Linked DNA regions of Drosophila melanogaster. The protein of the gene in region 1 interacts with the protein of each later gene in a pairwise test. Each region holds a gene or a part of one and is shown on either strand. Other genes may lie near its edges.

Region 1 (3,754 bases):
TATTCGTAGAGGAAAAGCAGCGTTAATAGTGTTTAGGCTGCCGACAACAATAGCAACAACACCAACAATAACAACAATAGCAATAATAACGAGAACAACAGCAACAACAACAACAACAATTGAAGCGACAACAACAATGTCGGGCGCACCACAAGAATGACGACAAAGTGATGACCAAAAACGCAGTCAGCAACTTTGTTGACCATTTGAACAACAAATTTTTCCACCAACCCCACCCCCCTCCCCCCACCATTCCGACGACCATCAAGGTCCTAATGCGAGGACTATCGTCCACAGCCCGCCGCCCCACTTCCATGACCATTTTCATTTCCATTCCCGGCCCATCTGCATCTGACCAGAGAGCTGCATTGTTTTGGTATGGTTATATCGCGGGGTGCAGATGGGTAAGATGGTCAATGTGGGGCTGGACAGGTAATACCATTAAGGTCCAGGGTAATCCCTCTATGAATCGTTATCAAAAACATGGTTAAGCGACAGTTTTTGAATAGTGTACAAAGGTAGATACTCAAATGTCAGGTATGCTGGAAAAAAATTGGACAACCAAATTATGATCAAATGTTTCAAAGAACTGTTGATCGCTCATAGGAAACCATAAATTATTTTTAACAATTAGTTTTAACGTCGGTCTTGGCGAAATCATATGTGTTACCTAGTGTATTGAATGAATACTAATAGGTGCCACAGCAAAATTTATGTTTAGATATTTACTTTTTATTTTTATTTAATTTTTTCTATATAATTAAAATGCTTATTAAACTATTTTCTGACAGTTTTAACGAACGTTTTCTCACCCAGAGAGTCTTGATCCAAAGCATTCGAAAAGGACACTCTGGCGATCGCTGGAAGGTGGCTTTGCCAGCCCTGGCAAGTTGATGTGGCCGCAAAACACTCGTTCATGAATAAACTTTGCATACTTTGCAGGCATTCATGCGTGGCTATGTGTGTGTTGGTGAGGCCCCAACACCCCTAACACCATGCCATGTGTGGGTGTGTGGAGAGTTGAGTGTGTGTGTGTGTGTGTGCATGTGGTCGCCATCAAAATTGACAAAAATGCAAATTTATTTACAACTGCAGCCAGCGTCAGGGTCGAATTGACGATGACTATGGCGATGGCGATGCCACGTGAATGAATGCCAATGGCAGCTGAAGCTTTAACGTTGTTGAATGTGAGAGGGGTGTATGAGGCGGAGGAAGTGCACAAAACAACTCGGCAAAATCAACATGCAACACACGGATACAGATACGCGCCCAGATACACCCGCAGCCGCACCTGCTCACACTCACACACACACACACAGCGACACACCGAGCACATTGCACTGACAGTTGGAGCTGTCAAATGTCGCAAGTGTATTTGAAAAACGCGGCGGCGAAATGCGCAAAACATTTCGCCTGGAAATACTTGCGTGTGCACCCGCCGCATACTCTCCGTTCTTTGCGACCGTTTTTGGTGTCCTTTCCAGGGGATTTTCGCGCAAAAGGTGGGCTCCCCAAAAAGGTGACACAGATGAGTGGTCCACTTCGACCAAAGTAACCGAGTTAGGCGCACCGAAACAACTAGTTCTAAATGCGCTGATTTCTTGTTTTGTTGCCGGACTTTTCTGGTTTTGAGTCGGCTTTCATTGCTTGAGTTAGAAGGAATTCGATTATCGGTTATTTTAATTTCGTTGATGAATGTGGGTGGCATTGGGAATTTCGAAAGTTTTTTAAACTTAAAAGTCGGCATTTATTTTTTAGCATGCACTAGTCGCCATAAGTGTTTTCACAAAATAAACGCTGCATGTATTTACAACACAAAAAATATTTGTCAAAATGATACAAAGATCGGAATACTCCGGATCCAAAAATCTTATTCATAGCAAGCCATGTGTTTTTAAACGATTTGGACCATAGAATTCACTCTTTGTAGATTGATTCCAACCTCATGTCCCCAAGGCAAATACTTGGGAGTTGCAAAGCCAGAGCCATCGCGTTGTGCAAACAATGCGATTGTCGCTATGCAATCGTCCTCGGTCAATTATACCGGATGGCTCACGATAAGGAGTGGCGTACACTGCGTGGTGCAGACCACGTTTCAGACCAAAGTTGTGAAGCCCGTCAGTCGATTCCTTCGATGCCGGCGACATGTTGGCAAGCTTGAACCGTAGCACTGGCCTTTCCGCCGAACTGCTGGATCTCTACGGCCTGGTGGTTCACTTTCTGCTGAGTGGAGAGCACACCACACTGGTATACTTCAATCCCGCAGGACTCGACTGCAGTTGGGGGGTCCTGTGGCAGCGGAACCTAACTGCTCATCCGCAGATCGTGTGGCAGCGCAACTATTCATACCCGGACCTTTACTATCAGTTTAATGCGAAACTCTTGGTGCTGGCTTGCTTGCCGATGGACTCCAGAGCTGCAATTCAACTAGAGATCCTAGCCAATAGCCTAAGCCACCTGCGGACGGTGGTTCGATTGCTTATCGAAGTGGCAGGTCCTGATCAAGTAACGCTGGCCAGGCAGTATCTCTCGTTTTGTCTGCGCCGGAGCATGCTGCATGTGGAGCTGTATTTCCGTGACTACCACCACTCCCTGATCCTCTACTCCTTCCGAGCGTTTCCCAGTTTCGAGCTGGTAATGCGTTGGATTTCAGTCGGGCAAGGCGTGAAATTGTTTCTCCATAAATTGGATGATCTGAGGGGACATCGTCTGCGTGTAATTCCGGATCTCTCGCCGCCCAACACCTTCTTCTATCGCGATGCCAGGGGCGACAACCAGGTGACCGGTTACCTGTGGGACTTCTTGGCCACTTTTGCCGGTCGGCTTAATGCTGGTCTGGAGGTAGTTCGTCCCAGTTGGCGGGCAGGTTCGGCCTCTGATAGTTCCTACATGTTGGAGTACTCCGCGAAGGGCCTCATAGACGTGGGCCTGACCACCACACTGATCACGAAGTGGAATCTCTGGGCCATCCATCAGTATACCTATCCGCTATTGGTCTCCAGCTGGTGCACTATGTTGCCGGTGGAAAAACCGTTGGCAACACCAGATCTGTTCGGCCGAATCGTGTGTCCAACGTTGGCGATGACCCTGCTACTCATCATCCTCGTAACCTGGCTGGTGTTCAGGCAACTGCGTTGCCTGACACGTTTGAAGAACTCAAGACCGGCACGGATCGTGCCCCATCTGCTGACCCTGCTACTGCTAACCACCTGCAGTGCCCAACTGCTATCGCTCCTGATATTTCCGCCCTACCACGTGAGAATAGCCAGCTTCGAGGATCTCCTTCGCGGTGACCAGAAGATCCTGGGCATGCGAAACGAATTCTACAACTTTGATGGAGCTTTCCGGGCGCGGTATGCAGGTGTATTTTACCTGATTGACGATCCCAACGAGCTGTACGATCTGCGCAACCACTTCAACACAACGTGGGCCTACACCATGCCCTACATAAAGTGGCTGGTGATTAAAACCCAGCAGCGACACTTTTCCAAACCGCTTTTCCGTTGGTCTAAGGATCTCTGCTTCTTCGACTTCATGCCCACCAGCGTTATTGTGGCCCCCGATTCGATTTACTGGGAGTCCATAAAGGACTTTACCTTTCGTATCCACCAAGCAGGTCTAATGAAGCACTGGATCCGAAAGAGCTTCTACGATATGATCAAGGCCGGCAAGATGAGCATTAAGGACTATAGCGATCTGGAGACTCTTAAGCCCCTGAATATCGGGGACTTGGAGATCGTCTGGCGGGTCTGTG
Region 2 (3,754 bases), on another chromosome or scaffold:
TCCACCACGGCAATAAGATCCAATGGTTTACCCGGCTCCTGATCGTAGAGAGCTTCGCGCACCATACTCTTGATGAAATCATCTGCATTTCCTGTAAAGAACTTTGCATTTTTAATGCCATTCGCTTCCGCATTAAACTCGGCATCCTTAATCGCATCAGGGACGATCTCCACGCCCATCACTTTCTTGCAGTGCTTGGCGAACGCAAGGGTAATGGTGCCAGTACCACAGCAAATATCCAACATAGTTGTGTCCTTAGTAGGAGCAACTAGATCAATGGCCTTTTGATACAACACGTTGGCTCCTTCTGTGTTGATTTGGAAAAAGGCCAGTGGGCTGATTCGAAACTGGAGACCCTGTATGGTATCGGTGATGTGGGTGCTGCCCGAAATGTGTTCCACCGGATTAATCGTCTGACCTGCTTCCCGATGCTTGACATCTTGGTAATACAGAGAGCTGCATTTGTACGGAGCATCATTTGCCAGATCTTCGTAGAAGGACTTCAGTTCTTGCTTAAGTTCAACTTGTTCGTCTTCACTTAAGTTCGAGGAGTATATGCCCGCCACCAGCATTAGTTCACCTGTGGCACTGGAGCACCGCACCATTAGCTGCCGGAAGTGGCCAATATTTCCGTCCGGATTGAAGGGCAAGAACTTGGACTTCCTCACCAAGTCCTGGAAACTGCGAGCAGCCCACTTGGCCTGCTCCGGTAGATGTGGCAAGTCTGCGACCTCGGCTACTTCCACAGATCCATCGCTGTAGCAGCCCAATCTGAAGCCCACAACCACTTCGCCTACGGAGTTCTTTCCCACGGTGAACTCGTTTTTATTTCTATACCCATTAACGGTGGGTGAGGGAAGCACCTCGTGGAATTGGAACTTATCCAAGTGGGGCTTTGCCCGCGGATTGACCTTCCGAAGTTCCTGGGTGTATTTCGCCAGAAGTGCCGACATTTCCTCGGATTTTTGTTTAATCTGCTGGTCGTAGGCAATGTGCGACAGAGGACACGTGGCTTCCACCGCCGTACGTTGTTTCTTGGGCTTTCTCTCCGACTCCTGTTCCTCGGCAGCTCGCTTTTTCTGTAGAGGATCGGCCGAGGCCTTGGCAACATGAGCCTTCAACACCTTTCCCTTCCATTTGTATCCATTCAGGATCTCCAAGGCCCTTTGTTGATCCTCCTGACTGCGGAAGCACACAAAGGCGAACTCTTTTCGAGTTGGAGCCTTGATTTTGGTCACGTCAAATTTGAGGGTGTTTCTCAAAAGCTTCTTAAACTCCTGCAAAGTTATAATGTTGTTATATTCATATAAAGGCTTAGATTTCAACTACCTACCCCAATACCGAAATATCCCATGTTCTTCACTTCAACTTTGAATATTTCCGAAGTGAATTCATTTCGCTCCAAGTAAGCATATTCCTCGCCGGCTTTTCCGGCTTCATCCTCACCATTTGCCAGCGTGGTTTCATCAGCTTTCACTACATTTTCCGAAATCTCTTCGGTCTCTATGCTATTAACCACTCCGTCAGCTGGTATTTCCGCATTGAAACACTCCATTTGCTTAAAAGAAGCCGATTTATTAAGGAAAATGAAATATAAACAGAAAGAAAACACGTGAAGATGCAACAGTGTGACCGTCCAGTCTAAAATGTATATAAACACCAGCGGCTATGCCGGTGGTGGGTGTCTTCGCTAAATAATATCAACATTTTCTAAAATACATAAAACTCTTCTACAGGCTCTCAAAAGATAACGGATACATAACACACTTGGCGCCAAATTCGAAACATCATAAGAAAGGCAAGAGTCGAAATCTAGGTTATTATAGCAAGGTCAATAAGGCAGTGTATTTCTGCGTAAGGAAGTAAGATCTAGTTGACACATTGGTTGTTTATCAGATCCATCCAAATGATGGGAAATTAAATATGGAATAAGTTTGCATTCCGATTCATGACGAACGGCCAAAAAAATTAACGTTCCTGAAAATCTGCAAGCCAAATAAAATAACCCATTTTTGTTTTGGTTTGCATACTTTGGCAGCTTTATTCTTAAATTGATTAGTTATCCAACTAAAGGGTATATGATAATCGAGCATACCGACACTAGCGTTCCTTCTGCTTAATTCTCAACTGGTTCAAAGCGCTCAAGCGCAGAACTCAAAATGACTTGTCGTTCCAACAACAATTGTTGCATTTCCGGCTCGTGCTTCATGATGTTTCGAATTTCTCTGAGCATTTCCGCCGCGTTTCTCAGCTTCTCCTCGCAATCCAATGGGTCTTTCGAGCGCAGAGCCTGCGTCACTAAAGCTTCCTCCATGTCTATGAGCAGATTGCCCCGGAATATGCTCCAACCGCCATCGAAAATGTCGGCCAGTTTAAGGAGTTCCTCACATAGTTGCAGTTTTCTGTTCAGCGATTCTCCAGAAAGTTCTGAAACAAAGAGTTTCTTACAAAAATGCATAATTAAAATTAAATATTTTTATTACCCTCCATTGCGAATCCCGGAGCACTTCCGTATAGTTGAGTGAGAGCATATTTGGCCTGCAAAATGTGGGTATTGGTCTCATGGAGATCAGCACGATGGCGATAAATGAATTCCTCGAGAGCAACGGGAGTCGTTTTGTCCAATGACTCCAATTCTTGCTGAAGCTCCGCATCTGAGGTAACCACATCCTTCGCCGATCTTTTAAAATTGCACAACTGACACTTCCAGGGCGCAGAGTTTAGAAGGGGATTCAGTGATATAATCTACAAGAGGGCAGGAAATTGTTATATAAAGAACTATAATCGAATATGTATGTAACAGGCATAAGGGAGCGTTTCAGAGCCTTTAACGTAAATATATTATTGATCAGGATCGCCAGCCGAGCCGATCTTATCATGACCGCCACGTCTTTGGCGTTACTAGAAACTGCATGCTTAATCTAGATTCTAGCTTTAAAAGTTTGGGAGATTTCGACATTCATAGGGAAAAACAGGCGAACAGACAGACGGACGGACATTAATGGTTCTGAATTTCCGAAGAGGTTTGTTGTTGACGAAAACCCCAGTCGGAAATTTCCTTTCTTATTGCTGTACAAATGCTTCCTTAGATCTGATCTTACTTTTCCTGCCTTGCATTTGAGACACGTTTGGGCTCCTGCAAAGCTGCCCAACTCCTCGGGATCCTGACACCTGGCGCATGAACAGTCGAAGCACTTGGCCTGCCTGAGGTGAACTCTTCTTTGAATGGTGCTCCTCAGGGGTTGGGTGTAGGAAATGCTCAAAATTTCTCCCTTGGCTATCTTCCTCTTGGCCAGGAAGACAATGTTCATGTCGTCATCGAAACGATGCCTCATATTCGGAACGCAGTCGTGCGAGATCATCGCTGCTCCAGGATAGAGAGCTCGGATTTTTCTCCTTTCCCTGGGTTGTCTGACCTCAAAGGTGTTTGTGTCCAGTATAGCGGCTATGCGCAGGATATCCATCTCCGGCCAATCCTTCATGCCCAATACAGTCTTTATGAAGGTGATGAGATTGGCACGTAAGACTTGGTACAGCGGAGTCTCCAGGCGCTCCTTCAGGTGATCCTCCAGGTTGTAAAGCTTGAGGAAGGCATCGGGATCTTTGTCTTTAAGATGCATGCAGCGGAGCAGCATGATCACACAGTAAGCCGACTCCTTTCGCTCCTCCTCTCCAGGCACATAGTTTATTTTGGACTGAAAGTTGCTACCCGACATTAGCTGGCACTCAGCCTTGTGATGGACAGAGTCCTCGC

Evidence for each region. The genes of interacting proteins can lie anywhere in the genome.
Region 2: the proteins of Ir20a (region 1) and CG3808 interact in a two-hybrid assay, tested with the Drosophila melanogaster proteins (one large-scale study listed by BioGRID).

What each region holds. Positions count from the first base shown.
Region 1 is NC_004354.4:21,477,337-21,481,090, reverse strand, and holds the start of Ir20a (ionotropic receptor 20a), read left to right. Parts: upstream 1-2,145; coding exon 2,146-3,754.
Region 2 is NT_037436.4:18,998,966-19,002,719, forward strand, and holds the start of CG3808 (uncharacterized protein), read right to left. Parts: upstream 1,644-3,754; 5' UTR 1,556-1,643; coding exon 1,334-1,555; intron 1,278-1,333; coding exon 1-1,277. Other genes in the region: SmydA-2 (SET and MYND domain containing, arthropod-specific, member 2), read right to left, coding at 2,117-2,427, 2,484-2,745, 3,102-3,754.